Astyanax mexicanus: one gene and its partner. The protein of the gene in region 1 purifies or fractionates together with the protein of each later gene. This does not show direct contact. Links are inferred from orthologs where the notes say so. Each region holds a gene or a part of one and is shown in the gene's direction. Other genes may lie near its edges. The genes, in order: heatr3 and tmem186.

Evidence for each region.
Region 2: the proteins of heatr3 (region 1) and tmem186 purify together in Homo sapiens (co-immunoprecipitation; 3 studies listed by BioGRID and IntAct, counting the BioPlex papers as one, with this or other methods). This does not show direct contact. The link is inferred for Astyanax mexicanus from reciprocal best matches to the Homo sapiens genes HEATR3 and TMEM186.

The regions. Positions count from the first base shown.
Region 1 is NC_064430.1:12,189,973-12,202,715, reverse strand, and holds the start of heatr3 (HEAT repeat-containing protein 3), read left to right. Parts: upstream 1-8,075; 5' UTR 8,076-8,185; coding exon 8,186-8,329; intron 8,330-9,666; coding exon 9,667-9,839; intron 9,840-10,765; coding exon 10,766-10,853; intron 10,854-11,539; coding exon 11,540-11,643; intron 11,644-11,824; coding exon 11,825-11,934; intron 11,935-12,118; coding exon 12,119-12,259; intron 12,260-12,400; coding exon 12,401-12,735; intron 12,736-12,743. UniProt on the Homo sapiens protein: Plays a role in ribosome biogenesis and in nuclear import of the 60S ribosomal protein L5/large ribosomal subunit protein uL18 (RPL5). Required for proper erythrocyte maturation.
Region 2 is NW_026040046.1:1,823,989-1,836,257, forward strand, and holds tmem186 (transmembrane protein 186), read left to right. Parts: upstream 1-6,142; 5' UTR 6,143-6,237; coding exon 6,238-6,240; intron 6,241-8,223; coding exon 8,224-8,916; 3' UTR 8,917-9,017; downstream 9,018-12,269. Other genes in the region: gde1 (glycerophosphodiester phosphodiesterase 1), read right to left, coding at 1,393-1,731; hmox2a (heme oxygenase 2a), read right to left, coding at 10,461-10,588. UniProt on the Homo sapiens protein: As part of the MCIA complex, required for efficient assembly of the mitochondrial complex I.

The DNA.
Region 1 (12,743 bases):
CCTCATGGAGGTGCTCCACCATATTTGTTCCAGGCTAAAAAAGATAGAAAGAATGCAAAAGAGTAAGTGAGTGTGAGAAAGGACCATTTAAAATAAAGAATAGTTAGGTTTATAAATTGGAAAGGATTCAGAGCATCTCAAATTCAAAATTCTAAACATGAGTACTCTACCTTCTATTGCATAGTAACAGAATAGTTAAACTTAAGCCTTCAGAACAGAAATGTCCTTCACAAATTATTAAAAAAGAAATAAAGCCAGATTGCAGTCAATTTACATTTACTGTCAATGAAACAAACATATATACATCCATTATTTTACATGCTTCTAAGCTGTGCACTTTGGGTGGCAATTTCATCCTCCAGAAACTTAAGCTGGGAGAGTCTTTAGCAGCCCTCTTCAGTGCATTTGATTTTGAGAGGAGCTGTACCATTTTACCATTTTGCCCCCCCCCCCCCCCCCACACACACACACATTAGACGAACACTTAAACTTTATTCTCACAAAAAAATCCTGTCATAAAAAAAGTATTTTAGAATCGCTAGCTATGTTGTAAAAATGTTTGCAAAGACCTACACGAAAAAGCTAAGCTAAGCTAGCAAATTAGCCTGCTGGCTAGCAAATCAGTTAGCAGTATTCCCCCTAATTCGTTTAGTTACAGTGAAATAAAGCTGATAGTTAATGATAAAGTGGGAATTGGGGTCCTTACACTAGCTATAACACAACACAGACACCGTGAATTAAATATTTACCACAAAGATGATCAGTCTCTCTCGAGCACCTGCGAGCTGCTGAAGGAGCATGGAGCCTGTCTGGGCGCGAAATGGTGGAGGAGGAGCACGTCCTGTAAACGTGATGACGGTCGAAGCACAAACAACCCAGCTGCTGGGTCAACTGATGCATGTTGGGTTGAAGAACTTTGCGAAATTTTGACCCAGCACATGAGTTGCACAAAAACAACCCAAATCCCCCCAAAAATAACCCAGTTCCCATAGAAATAACTCATAATGGGTTAGACATTTCATAACCCAGCAGATGAGTAGTTAAAATAACCCAGCAGTTTTTAGTGTGTGGGCATCGAGCTCTTTCAGGACCTCCTTCACTCGATCCTCATCCCCCCTGCCCGGTTCAGCGCTCTTCCTTCAGCGGCATCAGGCCCGTAGCCAGGGGGGATCGAAGGGTTCGTTCGATCCCCCCCCCATCCCCCACAACCCCCCCCTCAGCCACCCCAATCCCCCCCCCCCCCCCCCCCCGCCTGCCCCCAGAGTAGTGACGAGTAAGAAAAATTGGAGAGGGGGTTACAGCCTTCATTGTACTGTACCGTGACGTTTTACGTGACAGTGCCGCGAGACAGTGTCACGTGCACCCCCTAGTGGTGCACGCCCTTTACTGCAGTGGCATACTTTACATGGATGTGACGGTGCTACGTGCAAATAAAGAAATAGAGAGCATTAATTTTGCAGTAGAATGATAACAAATACTTTATATTAACCATTTTTATTCTGCAATGGGTGTTATACAATTTTAATAATGTAATAATAATTGTCCTGTACATTTCATTCGGATGTATTACATGCTCTGATTTTTTTTTTCTAAAATAATAACTTAATAATATCTTATAAACTTATGACAATGACATAATGATGTAGCACATGTGAGTTTACATGTAAATATACATGATACATATATAAGTGTGTCAGTTCATAAAAAAAAAATATACTATTATTACATGCTCTCTGATTAATTAATGCTGTCATGTGCCAGAAACGGCAGACATGCTTTTATCTTAAAAGTCCTCTAGTGGCGCATGTCCGTTGTGACTGGAACGCCACAGCAGGCAATGTCTGTCTGAATGAATATCCTATGAACTTCACATATTGTCATGCGATTTAAGCAGCTGATTTAACTCGCAATATTAACAGTCAAAAGCACAGCAGCCGTCCTTGATTTGAAATCAGAAGTAACAGCCTGGCTCAGCTAGGTAAAGAGCCGTTTCCCCTTCACAACACTTTTTTTACGCGCTGCAAGTGTAAATAACGCTGTCAGGTCCCACTGTCACTGTCTAACTGCTATGTAAAGTATGCCACTGCAGTAACTGGCCTGCACCACTAGGGGGTGCACGTGACACTGTCTCGCGGCACTGTCACGTAAAACGTCACAGCACAGTACACTGTCCCGTGACACAGCATGCCACTGCAGTAACTGGCCTGCACCACTAGGGGGTCCACGTGACACTGTCTCGCGGCACTGTCACGTAAAACGTCACGGTACAGTACAATGAAGGCTGTAACTGCTGCTCAAAAATTGTTAATGTTTCTCTTTACACATTTTGTTCAGACTGTTTTACACAAATCCAGTAGGTGGCGATAATTTCCCCATTTCTGTTCTTAGCTTGTGGAAAGAATAAGAATCAGGGGAAAGTTACTTGAGAAAATGGGTAAAAAAGAAGACAAGGAGCGAAAACGGAAGAAAACGGCGGTAACATTATCCCAAAATATTGGTGACTTGTTCAAAAAAGGCCCAAAATCGGTAAGTTGCTGAGTGCAGGCTTCTATTTCTTTACAACTCCCCTGCGTTAAAAGTGCCGGGCTCGGCTGAGCCCAAAAGTATAATTGTACATGTAACACCGGATTATTACTGTTATTATTGCGATAACTCCAAAGTCTGGATTTTAGTTGATTTTTAAGAAATGTAGGTTAAGTGACAATAACATTCAGTCACTCACTTTGCAATTCTGACGATCAAGCTAGGGTGTATTTTACTCTCAACATGCCTGTTGCTCCTAAGGCCATATATAAAATACAGTATAGAGGTGTAAAAAGGGGGTTAACCTCTTAACACGGGCCAGAAAAATATCATATTTAATATCTGGCTGTGTTTATGAATACTTATAGGTTCAATGTAGACACCCAATATGCCATTTTAAAGCTTTTCAGTTATCTAGCCTATTTAGCCGTATCTCCTTTCAGAAAATAAACATTTGGGGCGAAATATGCCTGGTTTATGAAAGTTATGAAATATTATTTTCATATTTACGTTTTTCGTACGTCCATATTTGATCGAATGCGGACATGTTATATACACCATTCGAACCGTCTGCCTCTCCGGATTACGGAACTGTGTTTAGAGTTTAAATCTGCTTGTGTTTCGCTTTGTGTTTACCTCAGGACACTCGAGACACACACCCAACTCCCTCCAGCACTTCCCCCACACTCTTACCTTCAAAACGCCTCCAAACTTAAGAAAATCCATCAATCCAGTCACCAGTAATTCTCACATATATCCAAACAGTGCTTGAAATAATTTGAGGCAGAAAAAAATATCAACTTTAACGCGTTATTAAAAGCGGATTATTGGTCGCTCCACGAATCCACGCATATCTAATGAATCAGCAGACCCACGGCATGCAAATGAGCTCTGTCAGCCAATCAGGCGCAGAGTTCAGCGAGCTGAAGGGAGAGGGGGGGTGTGGGGGGCAACGAAGTCCCAGCACAGTTATAGGAAGATTTTAATAAGACAGAACACTTCAATTTATATTATTATTAATTCATGTTTAAGTTTTAATGACCATACCGATAGTGTTCCTAATGAAGTAATTCTTATCTATTTATGTCAATAGTAGAGAGATAGACAATAAAGGACAGCAACATCAGAGACAGACAATGGAGGGCAGCAACAGAGACAATGGAACAAAGCAACAGACAACTGAGGTGAGCAACAGAGACAGACAATGAAGTCACATCACAGATGTAGGAAGTTTGAGTAACACTTACATTTATATCAAATGTATGTTAACAGTGGGGAGCAACAGACGAACAAATAAGGACAGCAACAACAGATTCACAACAAACTTATAATAAATAAAATATGTCTAAATTAAAAGGTTTGAAGTGTGTTCGTGTATTTAGGGGGCATTGGAGTAGAGAGCCAAATGAAGTCCACTTTTGGGGGAAAAAGATCCCCCCCCCATCACAATGCTGGCTACGGGCCTGGGCATCGTCCCCACAAAAGCAGCTCCAGCTAAACACACCAACTCAACCTCACAACAGCTAAACTCAGCTAAACACAGCAAAACAGCTAAAAACACCAAAACCACCAACTCAACCTCACAACAGCTAAACTCAGCTAAACACAGCAAAATAGCTAAAAACACCAAAACCACCAACTCAACCTCACAACAGCTAAACTCAGCTAAATACAGCAAAATAGCTAAAAACACCAAAACACTAACTTAACCTCACAACAGCTAAACACAGCAAAACAGCTAAAACACCAAAAACACCAACTTAACCTCACAACAGCTAAACACAGCAAAACAGCTAAAAACACCAAAACCACCAACTCAACCTCACAACAGCTAAACTCAGCTAAACACAGCAAAACAGCTAAAAACACCAAAACCACCAACTTAACCTCACAACAGCTAAACACAGCAACTCAGCTAAAACACCAAAAACACTTACTTAACCTCAGAACAGCTAAACACACCAACAGCTAAAAACAGCTAAACAGCTCAAATCACCAACCTAACCTCACAACAACCGCACGTGAAGTGATGCTGCTCTGTCGAGCTACGCGTATAGGCAGGCACGTTTAGAACGCAGCAGTGTTGTTTGAAGTTCTGACAAATGCTGCAGTTCAGCCTCAGTAATACAGGCTATATACTGTTATGCCCCTCTGATAGAGAAGAATATTGAATAAACCTAAATGTTTGCTTGCATTAAATCTTTAAAGGTTAATGACATAAAAACAACATTGCATAATAGGCAAGTGTTGAAAGTCGTATCATAATTGTCCCCTCAAATGTATTATATTGATGTTTAGAGGGTCAGATATGTTCCCTCTGAAGTCTTTTCTAACAGCAGCAAGCACAGATTTGTACCATTTAACCAGGGAAAAGGTACATTTGGAATTATGTATCCCTGTATTAATAAACAATATATATTTTAATTATACATTTTTTATTTGCCAGACATGCCAGACAATTTTGGATCATCATGTTCTTGACACAAATTCAGTTAATGTTTATAATCTTTACTGGTACAAAAAACATGGGTAAAAAAAAGACTTTACTAAAAGATACTCTATACCTCAATATAAGGTACAACCCCAGCGATACATAAGTTTTGTACTCTTTTAAGTACAAATCTGTACTTATTTTTCTTAGTGTATTGAATTAACATTAATTTAAAGGGTTTAAATTGTTGTGCTGGGCTATTCTACACTCATAATGCTTTTAGGAGAAGGTGCTTCCCACAAATAATAAGATGTTAATATTAATAATAATTATTTAGATGTTTCTTCCACACTGCATGACCACAGTGCAGGCTATTATAATATCACAGCAAAAACTGTATTGTTAAAATTTCAGAATGAATCATTTCCGAGTTGATTTTCACTCCCAAAGAGTAATTTTAACACTCTTAGGTTTTATATGATGTTCAGTGTTGGGAGTTATCTGACAGAGTTGATCAAATCAGCGTTAACCCGAATAAATGACCACATGACCCAACACCGGAGAGATGCCTACCAGACAGTAGTGAATAGTAGTAAATGCTCTCATTAAGTAAAGGAGATGTATTAGAGTTACTACATGCCCCTCAGGCTGGTAACTAGTTCTAGATCTGAGGCTCATCAGGGTTTAATGTGTAGTCTTCATTAATTCTGGTATGATCCTGCCCTCTAGTCTTTGGCTGATGTGTTTATTAATCAAGCAGCTTATCCCATTTACCTGAATTCTTAGTTTACATTTAGAAGGATGGAGTTTCAGGTTTCTTAATAACCAGTCTTATTATTTGAAACCTATTATAAGTAAAAATCTTAACGTGGCTTAATGTACTACAGCAAGGAGCCAGAAGCAGCAAACATCTCTAATTTATTCCACTGCATAATAAAGACGGTAAATGGTAAAACGTGCTACAGCTTTTAAAGGTGGTTCTGGGTTATTCTGTTCTGTTTGGTTAGTCTTTTTCTGCTGTTTGGTTACACTCTCTGCTCTCCTCAGTGAGGGCATTAGTTCATTAATTGGATTAGCTGGGTGTAATATGCTGTAAACATACGGCCGGAGTTCGCTGGTGTTGGGCTGAAAAGAGTGATACAGTGATTTTCAGGAGTAAAATGTACACAGAATAAAATGTACAGGGTTCTGAACAGATTTATTTTCCTCATAGTGAAAAAACGCTTAGACACCGAAGCCATGCGAGGACTACAGAATGACACACGACTTCAGTGGTCTATAGACCAAAAATATGAACAAAAGAATTGGTGTCCATTTACACCCAAACAAAAAACACTCGGACACATGTTAAGTTGTAATTGACCTCCTCTAACCTCATAAGTAGGAATTTCCCTCAAGGATTTGAAGGCAAGTGGTGGAAGGGGCCCCTTTGATGGGGATTGTGATAAAAGTTTTATGCTCATGGACCGTCACAATTTAATAGGGTGCTCACACATTTTGTCGCTGCATTTAATTCTTAAGTCAAGTCAAGTCAAGTAGTTTTATTGTCAATACTGCATATGTACAGGACATACAGAGAATTGAAATTACGTTACTCTCCTTCCCAATTTTACAGCAAGTACAGATAATAGATATAATAAAGGAGAATGGGAGACACTATGTGTACAATACAGCAGGGACACAAATAGACATACATGAGACAAAAACAAGGTGCAGTGGTGTGGGGGAGGAATAGATATATAAATATAAGTAAATAAGTAAAAATAGCTATATAATTATAATATAAAAGAGTGGGAGACACTATATGTTCAATACAGCAAGACACGGGCGCCGAGTGGTCCAGCGGTCTAAAGCGCTGCCACTATGAGCAGAAGGTCGCCGGTTCGAACCCCAGCTCATGCAGCTTTGCCATCAAGCTGCCGGTGTCAGAGGGGCAAAATTGGCCCTGCTCCCTCTGGGTGGGTAGATGGCGCTCTCTCCCCACATCACTCCTACGGGGATGTCTGCAGCACAGGGCGTCTGTGAGCTGATGTACTGGAGCCGAGCCGCTGCGCTTTCCTCCAAGCGCGCTGGCTGCTCGGTAATGCTGCATCAGCAGCAGCTCGAAAAGAAGCGGTGGCTGACTTCACATGTATCGGAGGAAGCATGTGCTAGTCTTCACCCTCCTGGTGTGTTGAGGTATCACTAGTGATAGGGGGAGTCCTAATGAATGGGTTGGGTAATTGGCCGTGTAAATTGGGGAGAAAATGGGAAAAAATTAGAAATAAAAAAAAAAAAAAAAAAAAAAAAAAAAAAATACAGCAAGACACAATAAACATACGTAAGACAATAGTGCAATATTGATGGTGATTGATCCCGAAGGAAATTTGGCAGTGAGTGTGTGCTTGGGGCAGGATTGGGATGGGGGGTAGAGCAGGATGAGAGTTCAGCATCCTCACAGCCTGATGGATGGGGCTGTCTCGCAGTCTGCTGGTCCTCGCCCCGAGACTCCGCAGTCTCCTCCCTGATGGCAGCAATAACCTGTCAATAACCTGTCATTGTTGCAATTGCTTGGCCTGAATACGAGTTAAAAGTTTGGACACACCTCTTCTCATTCATGTAAATGTGTTTTCTTTCTTTTAATGATTTTGTACGTTGTAAATTTAATATTGAAGGCTATATAAAAACTTTACAGGAGGAACACATGCTGAATTATTTCAGTAAATAAAATGTGTTAAACAAACCAGATCATATTTTAGATTCTTCTAAGTTGCACATTTAGCATTGAGGACAGATCTGCACACTCTTGGTTTAAATTTTAATCTCAGTGTCTTCATGAGGGAGAGTCACCTAGAATAGTTTTCTCAGCGTTTTGAAAAAAGGAGTTTCTGGAGGTGCTGAACAATAGTTGCTGCTTTTACTTCACGCTGTGAAGCTTCAGCTCATGCTAACTGTTTTTACTGTTTACTGCGTAATTCCCTATGTGTCCTTTAATTGTCTCCATGTCTTTAATATTAATAAAATAAATAAAAAAAAACACTAAAAGACTGTAACCCGTTTTGGTGCCACATGGGTGCACTCTTGGGCAGCTGAAATGCTGCCTTGCGACGGTGTACGACAGTACTGCGTGGCTTTACGGCCCGTTGCTATGGTTTCGGGCAGGCGGCAGTGGACCTCCACATGGCAGTGGAAGCAGTCAGTTTCAGTCACGTTTTAATACAAACAGATTAAAACACTGTAACCCGCAGCGCGATGGGAAAAACCAAGAACACCCGCTACAAACGGCCGCAGTTCAGCGCGGACGGGCTCTCCGTGTCCGCTGTTAAGGACGTGCTGGAGGAAGAGGAGCAGCAGGAGGAGGCTGAAGAGTCTCCGGCGGTGGAGTTGCTGGAGAAGGTATATAGATATACCTAGAGCTGAGCGCTAATGCTAGCTAACTGACCAGTGTTCTGCTGAGTTTTGCTGCCTTGTCAAACCATGATACTCAAGTGTGAACAGGCTGTATTTAAGGATAGAAACAATGTTCACTTAGGCGTGTATTCATTTTTTTACCAGTGGTTTTAGACATTAATGGCTGTGTTGATTATGTATAATGGCTCAGAGAATGTACACTGTTATACAAGCTGTACACCGACTACTTTACACTGTATCAAAGTGTTATATCCTCAGTGTTCGTAAAAGACCACTTAAAAAGAGTTTTTTTTTTTTACCAAGTTAAAAACCTCAAGAGGAATGTGGGTGTTCATAAGCCATCAAACCAAGCTGAACTGCTTGAATTGTTGGCACCAGTAGCGGCATAATGTTATCCAAAAGCAGCGTGTAAGACTGGTGGAAGAGAACATGCCAAAATGCATGAAAACTGTGATTAAAAACCAGGGTTATTCCACAGATATTGACCTCAAATAATGCAAAGAAAACAAGTTCATATTCATAAAAACTTTATGAATATGAACTTGTTTTCTTTGCATTATTTGAGGTCTGAAAGCTCTGCATCTGTTTTGCTATTTCAGCTATTTCTCATTTTCTGCGAATAAATTCTCTAAATGACTATATTTCTATTTGGTATTTGGAAGAAATGTTGTTCGTAGTTTATAGAATAAAACGACAAGGTATATATTTGAGCTATACTTAGAACTCAACACTTCATTAGAATATATCTGCTCATCTTAAAAAAAAGTTCTGCCATGGGCCAGATTACTCTTCCACTTTTGAAGCTCCACAGTTGACTGACTGACTTTCTGTCTGAATGACTGACTTAGGGATGTCTGGATCAAGTTCTTTTTTTTTTTTTTTTTTACCCAATCCAATGTGTGTATCTTAGTGCTGAGTATTTAATTTGTGTAAATAAAGCAGCCCCTCAGTTAATTAAAACTTTTTTTGGAAAATAGTATTTACAGTGATCAGCTGGAACATAAACACCATATCCTTGTTTCTACACTCTCACTTCTACTTTCATTTTAAACGCTCCACTTATTTCATGAGCATTGCTGTGGCTGATATGCTAATTCCAGCAGAACACATTACTAACTCACCACCACCATGCCAGTGTCACTGCAGTGCTCTGAAAGAATGACGCACCACCCACATAATACCTTCTCTGTGGGGCCCTTACCATTGAAGAAGAAGTGAAAGGAGAATTATAAAGTAGTTCTGTCTGACATGCTTACTGTTCACATCACTATCTGTCTGTCTCTGTCTATCTGACTGACTGTCTGTTGGTATTGTTCTCTCAGCTGCAGAGTCCCTGTGCAGATGTGCGCGAGTATGCGTCTGCGAGTATCTCACGTGTTGTCCAGCAGAGCCAGACCATCCCCAGCTTTCTGCAGAGAGATGCAGTGAGGAGACTTGGACCACTACTACTGGACAGCAGCCTAGCGGTTCGAGAGACTGCTACAGGAGCACTCAGGTAAGCTACATATTTAATAAAAGTTTCAAGAAGTTTTTTTTTATATAAAAGATAGCTCTTTTATAGATGCAAAGCATCTTGTAGACTTGGTTTGTCTGTCAAAATAAACACAATATAAGATTTACAATAAAATATATTGCAATATCTTGTGATACTGTTTGGAATTTTAGGAAAATGGTTTATTATTTAAAATTGCACAGTTAATTAAATAAAAGTATAAACACACACCAATAGTTACATCTACAAAAAGACTCCCAGGGCTTTTTCTCTTTCCTGTCCTGGAAAAAAACGTCTTTCTCAGACATACCCAGCACATCCACTTCATATTTTCTGTTACTTTTGTTACAGTTTCTTATTTATCTTGGGGTAAAGTGGTCTGGTTTTTAGTCTGGCAAAAGGGTCTGGGGAGCGAGCTTATTCTCATTTTCTGTTGCGACCTGACCCTAGACCAGGTTGTAACAGTGTGGTTAAACATGATATAAAATAAACCACATTTTTTACACAGATATTTACATATAAACTATTACAATTATAATAGTGTGTTGTTGAGAATTTATACAGTATTGCAGAACAATAATATTAAAAGTAATTTCTTGTGCTTAAAGATTTACTCAAATTTCTTTTGGTGCTTTACATCACTGACACTGTGTTTCCTAACTCAGAAGTTATTAGCCTTAGAAATGCTGTGTCAGCGTATGCTTATGCAAAAAAAAAAAATAATAATAATATTAAACGTGTAATCAAGAATGGAAAATTTTTTAATTGTCTGAAAAACCTAAATATGCCTAGAGTGAAGTTTGTTGGTTGAGGAATTTTATTAGACATATTTTTGTCATTTTAAAGTGAGCCATGGTGCCACCACTGACTATCAATATTGCTTTTAACATATATTATCAATAATTATTCATAACATCATAATTTTACAGAAACCTAAGTGCCTGTGGAGGCCCGGATGTGTGTGAGGATATGGTGCGACAGGATGTGCTCACTCCCCTGACTGCCCTTCTGAAAGAGGTGAGTTCACTCACTAGGGGCCAACCTGTAGATCTACTCTGTGGTCATATCACTGCTTAAACCTACTAAAGATATATATTTACAAAGCTTTATAGGATTTCTGTATAAATATATATAGTTTCATACTGTCTGATAATGATTAATTTTGAAGTAATCTACAGTATAAAAAAAAGAAAAGCTGATCAGGATAGCTGGAGCTACACATTAAAAAATATTGTTGGGGCTCTGAGTGATCCAGCGGGCTAAGTGCTGCCACTATAATCAGGAGATCGCCGGTTCGATTCCTGATCATGTAGCTTGCCATCAGCTACTCTCTCTGGTTGGGTAGAGGGCACTCTTTCCCCACATCACTTCAAAGGGTGATGTCGCTCAGCACAAGGCTTCATCTGTGAGCTGATGTATTGGAACCAAGTCACTGCGCTTCAGCGATGCTGCTTCAGTTCGAAAAGAGGCGGTAGATGAATTCACGTGTATCGGAGGAGGCATGTGCTAGTCTTCACCTTTCTGGATTTGGGGCATTACTAGTGATTAATAGAGGGAGTCCTAATGAGTGGGTTGGGTAATTGGCTGTGTAAATTGAGAAAAAAATAAATAAAATTATATAAAAAAAATAAATTCTTGTCAATAATTGTGCCTGTTCATTTACCAGGGTTTTTGATGAGGGTTATTTCTCTTTATTCCTGCAGTGCTGTGGAGGATTTCAGCCAAGTTCCAGCCCAGTGAAAAAGGAACAGAAGTACACAGTGGAGGGTGTAGCAAATGAAGCTGTGAACTTACTCTGGAACCTCTGGTACACTCACTTCTTATAGCAGAATTAATACACAGCAATATAAACACAGCATATTAAACTGGTGATTTTTGTATCTACTCTATCTGTAGATTAACCTGTATTTAAAAGCATAAATAAATAAAATTCATGGGTTATCTTTTAATATTTTTTTTAAACAATATGTTTGTGTCTGTGTTTGTAGTGAGAGCAGCAGTACAGCAGTATCTGTGTTTAATAGAACTGGGCTTACGGATGCTCTGTTGCTTTGCCTGGAGAGACATCCACAGAACATCCAACTCGCTGTATCAGCAGGTGAAACACACACACCAAATAATATTTTAATTATATGCAGAATATATTCTGATACACTGCAATATGCAATATTAACCCACCCTTCTCTTCCTGTGTGTCCACTTTGACTGCTTATACCTTCTGCTGCATGTGTTTACAGTGACTGAGTATATATGCTTATTCTTGTTTTAATCTGTGTTTGCAGCCCACTGTCTACACACAGTGACTGAGGATAACTCAGAGCTGACAGGAAGTGTGAGCGGGGCAGTTCTGGCTGCTCTGGAAAATGTACTGCTCTCCACACAGTCCAGCATGGAGCACGTTCTGCTGCGCACACTGGCTGCAGGTACAGAGATGGATACGACTGTTAAATATGCATTTCTTAAAAAAATGTCTTTAAATCCATCAATTAAAAGCCTTAAAATGCCACAGACTGTAAAGACAACCTTGGCTCTATTTATTTACTGTTTTTCCCTCCGCTTCTCAGGATCAGTATGGAACCTAAAGGCCTGCTTCTCCTCCCAGTGTCAGGCAGAAGCTCTGACCGCGGTGGTGGCCACTCTTGCCCACTGCCTCAGTCTGGACACTGGGTCACTGATCCCTGATCTGTGGCAGGCCCAGGAGAGCCGACTAGCCAGCAAAAGCACAGCTGAGCCAGTCTCAGCTTCAGCGCATTCAGAGGAGCAGCCTGCAACAGGAAATGGAGCTTCTGTGGAAGAGGAGGAGGAGATGGAGGAGGGAGATGGGGAGGTGAAGAAGAACGGTAGGAAGAAGAATGGGAAACATGCAAAGATTGATAAAGACATCTCTGATTTTCTACCTGTGAGTAT
Region 2 (12,269 bases), on another chromosome or scaffold:
ATGATCAGACCATTCTGTTTCTACTGACCAGCCAGTATAGAGTAATATAAAGATTATATGGTACCATAGAATAGTATATGGCAGTATAATGTTGTATAAAGTAGTATAGGGTGTACAGAGTTGCATGGGGACAATAGGGTGGATCAAGCATAAAGATTTTTTTTTGTGCAATATTTGGGTGTTTTTTTTTTTATATTTAATTTGTCCTTTTCCATTCAGTTTTTTATGTGCATTTTCAAAATTCACAAAAAGTCTGTGTATGTAAAACTTACATACAAAAACGAATTAGTAACACACATTTTGGGTTTGCTAATACAATAATAAACCATAGCAATAAATAAAATGCAACAAAACAAAAAATCTTGATTCCAGATATTTAAGGATATTTGTGCATTCTGCACAGACAAAGTCAAAGTTTAGACTGCGTTGTTTCTGCTTAGTGTTTTTAAGTAAACTGCAAGCTTATCAATTACAAAAATGAACCGTTTGTACCTGAAAAATACAGTGATAAGAATTGTTGGGAACACAAGCTAGCTTACAGTAATGTTTATGCCAGGGACCCATTCTGCTTTCCCTGCTTGTGAATATAATTCTGCTGGTTCAGCAGCTAAGAAGGCTTCACTGTTCCCCACTTCCCCTTTCCAGGCTTAAGGGGTTTATTTTAGACTAAATGGATCTCAAAATGAGAAGACTATTGACAACCGTGACAGAAACATTAATGTGGCCTGAACCTAGACCACATCTTCCATATACTAGCACTACAGTAATAATAATAATAATAAATATTATTATAATAAAAATAATTATTAATTTGAACTATTATCGTAATGGGCAAACCAAAGTGTTCTGCATCACACACAAGTGATATGTGGCCCATATTTGGTGACATTATTTGTTGCCATCAGGGAAACATACTTAGGTTTTTAAGCTGATGAATTCTGTTGATTGCAACGATGGTGGACCACAGATCACTTCAATCTAGGACAATGGTTTCAAACGTGTTCTCAGAAACCCCTGGACTAGTTCACAGTTTCTTATTTCTCAACTATCCCTGCAAGCTGAGACATGTGCTGAAGGTCAGACCAGCTTGAGAAATCTCTGCTGATATAGGTAGATAGCAGAGATGCACAGTATAGGTCAGTCTGTATGTTAGGATGTTATCTTTAGATGTTTTTAACTTCCCCGCTGAAAAATCCATCAAGTCTAGGTTTTGTTGGTAGCTGATATTTGATGGTTGGTTAATAGCCTGTTAAACCAAAAAGAGACATTTCGTATTCTGGTAAAAACTAGCTAGCTGGTTAACCAGTTGTTTTTCTTCTAGTCATTATTTCACGTGAAGGTCCCTCTCTGGAGAGAATAATGAGAATATTACGGGAATATTATGGACCTTACCGCCCGAATAGCAGCTATTGTGTTCTCCGGAGCATCGTGTCCTCCGCCGCGGTGAGCCACGATAGACACCCCCCCGGGGGCGAGCCTGGCCCCCGGCCGCAGCACTTGCTTTACTCGAGAGACTGGAAGCTGTGGGAATCGGAACAGCACCAGAAAGAGGTAGAGGGAGGCCGTGAGCCCCGTGGACCACACCGCGCTCCTGGTTCCGAGCAGGACCACCAGGAAGACGGCCGAGAAGCAGGTGATTCCGTCCCCCAGCTGCAGCATGCTGTCGGCGGGTAATATTAAACATATAAACACTACTAAAATAAACAGGAGAACCAGCACGCGACTCTCCATACAGCTGCTGCGGCGGAGCGGTCAGTCAGCAGGCAGCGCTGAGCTGAAGGCGGGAAACAGCGGCGAGGTGTCGCGTTTAAAGCTGTTTAGAGGAAAACCTCATTTTCCTCAGCAGCTGTCAAAAACCCGCAGCAGCAGCAGCAGCCCGACACCGCCGGAGAGACGCTCCCCGAACCGGAGAAGGACGCTTGGCGTTAGTTATAGCGCGTTCCTGAATGCACGGTATTCGCGCAGGCCAGCTGTCATTAGTCACTGCTATTGTCTGCGTTTTAGGAGCGCCTGTTTGATGCAGAGCTAGGCTGCGTTTGCTGATCGTTAAAGCTATGTGTGCAGATGATTTGTAGAGTGTGGCTGCGTCCAGAAACTTTTGCTACTCCTCCTCTCCTACTCCTCCTTTCCTACTCCTCCTCTCCTACCCTGGAAGAAGGTGGAGGAATCGAGGAGAGGAGAGGAGGAGGAATGGAGGGAATGAGCTGCAATTGGGGAAATGGGACAGCTGATCACTTTTAGATGGGATGTTGACTACCGTTGAACTGAGCCAATCACAACGCTCACTTTCAGCACGTTTCAGAACATTACTATCACACACAGCTAAAAATTCAGATATTCCAATAAAATCCTGAGTACTCCCAGCCGCATTTTTGGCCGCATTTCTGGCCAGTGACTCTGGCAGCCCTGTCTGACCTCAGCCTTATGAGGGTTTCAGTTTACTCATCAGTCCCTAAGTTAAAATAAATAAGTAAATAAATAAATTAATTAAAATTATATATATATATATATATATATATATATATATATATATATATATATATATATATATATATATATATATATGTTTTTATATGTATAACATGATACACATAGGGTCATAAATATAGTTTTACTGAGCATACAGTTTATCTAAACTATAAATTATATTACTGCTTTACTGGCTGTTTAATTAGATAAGGAACCTAGTTGATTAATATGTTTATGACGTATATTTGGGCGTTGCCTTCCCCATTTTCGCGTACTCTGTGGGCGTAGATGCAGTGATGTCATTGGAAAGTCTTCCGGAGTAGGATACACTGATGTAACCTCCGTTGGAAGCCTACTACAGGTGGATTTTAAGCGGCTTCTTTCGTCTCCTACGGTATTCGGACAGGCGGCAAGATGGCATCATGAAATCAGTTTCCGGGTCACGGAGGAGAGGAGGAGGATCGGTAGGAAAAAGGAGACACTTTTGGGGTTTCTGGACGCAGCCTGTATAATCTGCGCGAACATTTTTTCACTACAGCCTGCACTCTTTCACAGACAACCACCAGGGTTGCCAGATTGTTACATTGGCACACAGGTAAAACCAGGTAAAAGTCACTGGGTAAACCGTGTTTCAAATCTGCTAAAATGCAAATAAAACCGCTCAAAAAGGCGATGTTCAGCATATCAACAATATTCGATGTTTGTTTAACTGGGCCCTAATATAAAATAAAATAATGTATATTAAAATATCAATTAAAATATTTAATTGTATTATTGTATTATATACTAGTGCATCTCGAAAAATTGAATGTCATTAAAAAGTAATGAAAACACTTCAGTTTAAAATGTGAAACTCATGTATTATATAGATGAGTACTTTTGGCAGTGTGGTGAGTGTGCAAAGTCCTGCTGGAAAATGGAGCATGAAGTGCTGTAATATTTTGTGGGAAACCACTGCACTGACTTTGGACTTGATATAACACAGTGGACCAACACCAGCATATGACATGTCTCTCCAAACCATCACCGATTGGTGGAAACTTCTCACTAGACCTCAAGCAGCTCAGACTGCCCCCCAATCCCAAACCGCTCCCTACTCACTCCGCCCCTCTACTCCGCCTCCGTTTGCGCGTTCAGGTGGAGTGCTCGCCACATTAAGGGCTGTCCCAAAGTGATTAGGACGGAGTGGGAGTGGACTATAAAACCCTCCAACAGCGAGTGTACACCAGAGCACACTCAACCACCACGCTCCACGGAAGTGCAGCTTAAAAAGGAGAATGGAGGAAACACCGTACAAATGTTCCGACATCATTTTCAGCAAAAGTGTCACAGACTGACGGGTCAAACGAAAATCTCTCCTCAAGCAGGTCTCTGGATTATTGTAGAGACGTAAAATGGGCACTGCTGAATTAATCTGGATGTACAGCATCCTGCCTCGCTGCAAAGAGACATGTTTTAAATATCATACAGATGATTGATTTTATCTCATAAAAACTATTTGAATACACACCTCATTTTTATCCGCAAACAACATTTAGGCTGTGAATTTACCTAATTTACCTATTTTCTTTACCACTGAACATACACATTAGATTGTAATGTCTATAATAGACTATCATAACTATCGTTATAGACATTACTATCAATAACATTATTATCATATTTACACATTTTTTTTTTTTATTAAAACATAACTACACATTTGTACTACACTTGCTGATGCAGTAATGCAGCACGATGTAGCAGGCACTTGCGTCTCCTGACAGCTCGTATTCCCGCTTGGAGATTCTGAAACGATATCAAAGCACAAGACATGACAGCAAGGCGTCTGTCGGTAGCCATGGTGACGGCAGCTTCCTTTTTCCGCTAGAAAGCAAAAAGGGCGTCCCAGAGTTGACTCCTAAATTTATACCCTCCCCTTAATTGGAAGCACCCTTCACAGCACAGAGTGTGACTTCATATGGAGTGTCACTCTGTCGTGGAGTGTTAGTGAGGAGGGAACGGTTTGGGAAAGGGCCTATGTGTCTCTCCACTCTTCCTTCAGACTCTGGTGTCCAATTGAATTGAATTGTTTTACTATCAAGTCTAAAGTCAGTGCAGTGTTTCCCTGGAAAATCTTACAGCACCTCATGCTGCCCTCTGCTGACAACTTTTAAGTGGATTAGCCAGTGGACCAATGTGGATGCCGTCAGTAGTTGTATTCTGCCGTGTGAGAATAATTTTAATGAAATTGTGAATGACCCATAGACGCTATCATGGGTAAAGTGCTTGGAAAAATAAGAATTATTTAAATTACAAACATAACACACATGCAAGTGTCAGGTTTTTTTTTTCATCAATTATTATTTTTTTTTATTTTGTTCTTATTTCTATTATGTTTATTTTATCTATATTATATTTTAATACTTGATGTCTATACTTAATATATTTAATATTATTTTATTACTTTTAAAATTAACAATATTTGAAAATAAAAATATTTACTTTTTAGTTGTTTTTGCTTTATTTTATTGTTTATATTTATATTATTGTTTTATTTTTTTTAAGTTTATTTTGAAGCATTGTACTGCATTTTAATGCATGAATGGTGTTTTATAAATAATGTTGTTGTTATTATTATTATTATTATTATTATTATTAGTAGTAGTAGTAGTAGTAGTAGTATGTAAGGTAATGTAGCAGATATAAGAGAAGGTACCTTTATCAAGAAGACAGTGCATACGCACTCCCAAGATAAAGTGTTTTTCATGGCGGCGGTGCTGAACTCGTCGAAATCAGCACGTCTTTAATCGGTTAATATAACGAATTTAATCTGGTAATATAACAACCTCCTCCACCAGTCTTACACACTGCTTTTGGATAACTTTATGCTGCTTTACTCCTGGTGCAAAAATTCAAGCAGTTCAGTTTGGTGGTTTGATGGTTTGTGATCATCTATCTTACTCTTGATTATATTCCAGAGGATTTCAGTTTTGCAAAATCAAAGAAACTCATAATTAAGCTATGAGAAAAGAAGCTACTTACATAATAACGAACACAACCACTGCTTATTCACATTTCCATCAGCAAAACTATCTCTATCTCTGCCAGGTTAGCTATCTATAACACTGATAAGCCAAATTGCCAAAATCTTACCACTTGGTAGTTTTGTCAACCCTCAGCGTTTCCTCCAGTAAATTCTTAACACAGCCCGATTAAATTGGCAGAAAACCAGCCCATCTGGCAACATTGCAAGTTAATAATAGAAAAAAGAAATTTGCTTACAAAATACTAAAATTAAATGACAAAAATTGAGACACGTAATTACCATCATCTTTTACATTTATATATATTTTTAATTTACCAGTGATATTTTAAATCTTAGGTGGAATGTGTTTGTTGAATACACATTAAGCAGGATTTAATACACATTAAGCAGGATTTAAGAGGGAACGTCTGGCAGAATAAATTGGGGAAGTGGTTTTGGCACCATTGGAATACCGTACCATTGGAAATTATGTTAATAAAACCCGTATATTTTTAAAAGGAATAGGTTAATTTCAATCATTTTCTTTCATAAGAAACAATGTTTCCTTTCCTGCTTATAGGAACTATGTAATTTGAGGGTAAATGTTGCATTAGAAGCACACATTATATTACTTTTATTTTATATATAAAAAAAAACTCACCAGACGGTTGCATGAACGTTAGAGCCGGGACTCTTATTTTGACGTGTTTGACGCCGTGTTAAACGCTGTTTATACGCTGGCAGTAAATGTGTTGGCTGAAATGGTAAGCGTTTATAGAATTCTACACACTTCTAAAAACAAGTAAAATGTTTTTTCAGAAGGTAAATAATCAGCAATAACTCCTGAATAGGTTTATGTGATTAGAAGGTTCTATAAGTACATACAGATGTTTACAGTACATTAGCTGTGTATGCTAACAGAGCTCTCTCTGAGGTCACTGAGTTATATTACTATAGCCTCCTGTTGGCCTGTGGACCCATGTGGATGCCGTCAGTATTTGTATTCTGCCGTGTGAGAATAATTTTAATGAAATTGTTTAACACATGATGTATTAAGAGGAATAAAATATCCATCTAATACCAAATCTGGCTAAAGAGTCACCTGCCGATTAATCAATAAAACGGATATTTTATCCTCAGACACTCAGTAAAGTTATTTTTCAGAAGTAAATTCAGAAAGTTTGTGCAGTTTAAATTCACATCCAGGCTTGTTGCTAATTGGTCATTAAACTCCCAAGTTATTGCTAAGGTATCGGTATGTCAGGTGGTTACTCTGCAATTCTTATGGTGTTCCTGCTGGGTTGGAAGAGAGATGCTATGGTATTTTGGGAGGTTGCCATGTGGATGCTATGAATTTGATTTCTTTGTGGTTGCTGTGGTATTTCATATTTTTGATAAGGTTTTTTTGATAAGGTGGTTGTTATGGTATTGCTTAGGTGGTTCCTGGTTGTTACTACCGTGGATGCCCTTGGTATTGTAGGTGGTTTCTAAAGTGCTCAAGATGGTTTGTAAGGTATTGGATATTAAGTCGTTATGGTATTTGTAGTGTTTTCTTAAGTAAAAATCTTGCTATGGATATTTTAGGCTGCTTGCTGTTGTATTTCCAGTGGTTGTTTAGGTGCTTTGATGGTTGCTGTAGTATTTAGGTGGATGTTAAGGTGTTTTGTGGTTGCTCTTGTGGGTGTCCAAGGTTTCATGTGTTTGCCAAAGGGTAGCTAAGGTGTTGTTCTTCAGTAGAACTTTCTCAAACTTTTGTGTCTGTTAATGAATTCAGAGGGTTTTTTTTTTTTTCGATTGTTAGAATAAAAGCTCATCAACAGCAGAGATATGGGAGGCCTGTAGGATTTTACATATCTTACACTAATGAGTATTACACAATATTCCATTACATACTTGCCTTCAGTCCGGCTGGAGGAATGTTCAAACACGTTAGCTGTGCTCCTGTAAAGATGTTTGAGAAAGTCTAAAAAAAAAACTGGTGGGCTCTCTGTAAAACAGTGCAAGTGCCAAACATGATGATGCGGCAACTGTGAAAAGGTCTGCAGTTAAATGCTTTAATGTGATCTGTAAACATAGCTGTGAAACTTTAGAATTTGTATAAACAGCCCAGATTTGGAAACTAAGCTACAAAAGCAGTCTGTTTTGAATTCCCTTTTTTGTGATGCCACAAAATGCACTTGCCTCTTCAGCAGACCTAGCTCCTCCCACTCACACTGATGTCTTCCACACTAAAGACTAGGCTGCAGTCAAGTCTTTGTAGGAGTGTACTATGTGGAGGATATATCAGTTTTAACCTCAAAAACTGTGTGACCTAGAAATGACCTGAGAAATGCACCCTACCTTGACCTAGGTTTTGGGATACATCTATATTCTCATCCTGATTATAGTTCCCGGTTTACAGGTTATCAGAACAGAACTGTGACAATAATCACTTGTTTAAGGGATAATGATAGGTTGATAAACTATGTTCTATAATCTTACTGCATAAACCATACAAATAAAGAAAAACACTGTCTGATGAGGCAATAAGTTGTAGGAGGGGCTTAAAAATCTACACTGGCATTGTGGTAGTTTTTTGGGCTTCTGGGAAAGTGCTGGAGTGTTGCATATAAAATATTTCAAGAATTACTATTATTATAGGAGATCCCTTTATTGTGTTACTGTTTATTTGAACGTTCAGTGTTGCAATGATGCACTACAATGTAGTGTGTATTATACCTCTAGTAAACAGTGTCATCTCTTTACAGCTGAGGTCACCAGGTCTGATCCGCCTGACCTTCTCCATAGCAGCTCCTGGGCATCAATGTCTCCGTCAGTCTCAGAGTATCCGCCCGCTCCTCTTCCCTTACACACAGACAGGGACGAGGGGTGCAAGCTGGACCAGGTCTTCTGTCATCGTACCAAATAACCATCCGCCATTCCCACTGCAGTGCCGAGCTCTCTCTGCCAGTTCTGATCTTGCCTCAAGGAAATACTCATTAATTTACACTTTTCCAGCCATCAAAGTACTGCGGGCGCTCTCCAGACTCAAGCTCCTGCAGACAGGCATCACCACTGCTCTCCTGCCTGCCGTCTTTTATTTTTACCTGCAGGAACAGGCGTCTGTCACCCTGCTGACCTACACCACAGGTATCGCAGCTTTTGCTGCAGTCATGCTGTACGCCATAAGCCACTACATCAGGCGAGTAGTGGGGATGATGTACCTGGACTCGACCCAGACCACATTAAAGGTGTCCCACCTCTCTTTCTGGGGATACAGGAGGGACATGTACCTGCCCATTTCAGACGTCATGACCCTGGGAGACACAGGCGACTCTCCTGGTGAAGCCATCCTGCGGCTGAAGCGATACAGCTGCTCCGACACTATGTATTTCTCACCTAGGCTGGGGCGGGTGGTAGACAGAGACGGCTTTGAGAAAGTGTTCGGGTCTTTCTCTTGATGGTGGTCAAATTGTAGCCCTGTAAATTATGTCTGGTGTAATGTATGCAAGCTTTTATTAGCTGTTAAATTATAAGATGTTAATAAAAAGATGCTTTCTTATCCAGGTTTTATTTATATTCTGTTGGTTGCAAATAGAGTCTAACTCTGAGTCATCTGTCCTAATAAGTTCATAGAATTATCTTAATTTACTGAATAACTTGTGACTAATGTAATTCAGAGTGGTCGAAATCAATAAGAGTCATACATACATACATGTCTGTGAAATGTCAATGTTATAGGAGACCCCTTCTAATGAATAAATTCATTAAGTCCATTTCTGATGCAGATGTGCACAGGCACACACACAGCTTGTTTAGTCCATATAGAAAAGTGCTGCCAACAGAATAGTACTCTCTGCAGGAGGTGAACACCAATTGTCACGATGCTAAACGTGGGCTAGAGGCGTATAAAGCCCACAGCATTGAGCTATGAAGCAGTGTTCTCTGGGCACTTCATCCAATATTTCAATACTTTTGGCAGAAAATGGATTTGGGGATGATTAGGGGTAGAGATCACCTCACAACAGCTTTGGACTTTTTTTTGGACAATTGAATTTAATCAAATCCCCAAAACAGTCCCCCAAACTCTAGTAGAAAGCCTAGAGACTCCAAGTTGTACAGTTAAAGCCTAATAATATCTGTCTTTATTTTAAACAAAATGAGTGAATGAGCAGGTGTACCAATAAATTTGACCATAAAGTGCAGTTCCACAAAAATACTACTTCCAAATTGTACACATAAAACCCAGAGGACTCTTAGTTAACCAGGCAATGAAGTTGCTTGATTACTTTTATTTTTTTTATTATTTAATTTATTACTTTTACACAATGTCTGTTTGGTATACAGTATTTTACCATAGTTCCATTTGTTTTGATTGTAAGTAAAGAATGTCTCAGACTTTATGTAGTATTGAGCAAATACACAATGAAGGTTTTGTGCACACCTCATAAATATCAGATCACATCACAACAAAACACAACATAGGAGCTAGAGGTGTTAACACCATATAGAGTGCAGACAGTACAGCAGGGGTTCTACGTTTGTTTAACAACATAGAGCACTCAAAAAGCTTTGTTTTACCCTTTAATACATTTTTGAGTAACAGTAGAATATGTAATGCCCAATCTGGCTAAAGAGCCATCTGGTGAAATCAAAAAGTAGCAGGTATATTTTTCCCTTTTCTTTTCTCAATGTTTGTTACAGCTCTTTCCACTCCCCCATGCTAGCTGTGCTGAGAGATGTTCAAGATGCTTGGAAGAGACCCTTACTACCAGGTCTGTTTCTTTAGCTAACAAACTCCCATGTTAGCTAGCACCTTGGTAAGTAATGGGTTGGGGGAGAGGGTTGTCCATCACATTGACCCAGAGACAGTGTGACAAAACTTTTGTCACAATTGGCTGTTATAACAGTGAAATTTATATGAATTATATATATTGTATCTCACTTCAGTGTACTGCTTTTAAATTATTTGCAATGCCCTTATAGTGATTTTCTACTGGTCAAATCACATTATGTACCAAGCAGCCAATCCGGTGATAGCAGCAATCCATGTGGCCAGAAGCACTTGGGCACTGGTGTGTCTGAGCAGTGTCCTGGCTAGCTGACACATATACGTTGTGTTCCCACTAACCGCTAGACACAAACAAAAAGAGGACAGCTTTAGTTTAATCAGTAAAATAATTAATAGAGAAACCAAAATCCAACACTGACAGAACATTTAAGCACAGTTATTTGATAATCCTGATATTGGTGTTTAACAATGAGGGGCAGTTTCCAAGACACACAATAAATCCAGTAGGTTATTCATCCTTTCAATGGATAGTCTTCATTCATCTTCAACACCAGTCTAATTTCCTGTCTGGAATTCTGAGCCTGTAACTGTGTTTACATATGTTCATAATCAGATTACTGTAGTTATCTGATTATTCATATATTCAAAAGTGAACAGCATACTTTGTTTTTTTTAGATTGAAGTAAGGTCTAAAAATCTGAGAATAAAGAGAGCTGGATTTTATCTTGGTAACTGTATTTTCTCAGTGCATGTAAACTCTTAACCAGAGAATTCTCAGATGTCTGCCTAATTATACTTTAATACTTTAATTATACTAATTATATCTTCTCTGAAGTAATTTCACAATTTTAAAACCTTTTTTGCTAATTTTTTGCAGTGCTGTTTTCTTTTTCCTCATCGTGTTGTATATGTGCAGTGGATTTTGGGTAACTGAGGACTGAAGGATAGTGTCCCAGCTGTGTCCTTCAAATCGCTCTGAACCCTCTGAGCTGCATTTCTCTGTTATAAACGAAGAATCCTTCAACTTTACAAGATTTCAATAAAGTAGTGGCCGAGAAATGCAGGTACCACCTTGAGCTAAGGAAGGCCTTGATTTTTATTAGCTGGAGAGGTGTGTGGGGTGCACGGAGGCCCTCCAGCACTAGACTGGGAACCACTGCTATGAATAATTAAAGTCATAATCATTATGGGCTCTATATTAACTAATATATATATCTATATTAACTAAGACCTGCAATGCAAGTTCAATTATACCAGTAGTCATTAGTAGTAGAAGACCTAGGACCAGCATTTTTACAAAAAATGCTATTAATCAACAAAAGTTTAATGTTTTTAGTAATTGTAATAATCTTATACACATTAAGTCATCTCATATTACTGTAAACCAAAAGGAAAACTGTACAGATAATCCAATGAGTAATCTTGAAAGTTTAAAAAAAAGAAAAGGTTTAGGTATAATTCATTTAAATATTAGAAGCCCACTACAGAACGATAGAATGGATCATCTTAAAATCCTGGCTGCACAATCTGATCCTGATATAATAGTTTTAACGGAGACCTGGCTTAGTCATAGAACCAATGATGAAGTTGTAGTTTTAAATAACTTTATCCTCCATAGAAAAGATAGAATTTCAAGGGGAGGGGGAGTTGCTATTTACACCCGAGTAAATATACAGACTACGGTTTTATGTGCAGCATCTAAAGAAAAATGTTATGAGTTTTTAGCCCTTAAGGTTTTACTTTGAGAAAAATAACTCTTTTGCTTTAATTGGGATATACAGGCCTCCCTCTGCCCCGCACTCTGCAGTCGAGGAATGAGCTGATCTTTATCTAAATTTAGTAGTTCTGAATTGCTGGTCCTGGTGATTTTAACCTCAACTGGCTTTCTAATGCATCCGATCACTTAAAGAAAATATATGGAAATCTTACTCTAACCCAATTAATCAACGAACCAACTCGCCCAAATCTGAAAGAACCTATCAAGTCAGCCCTAATAGATCTAATACTGTCCAATAAAGCGGA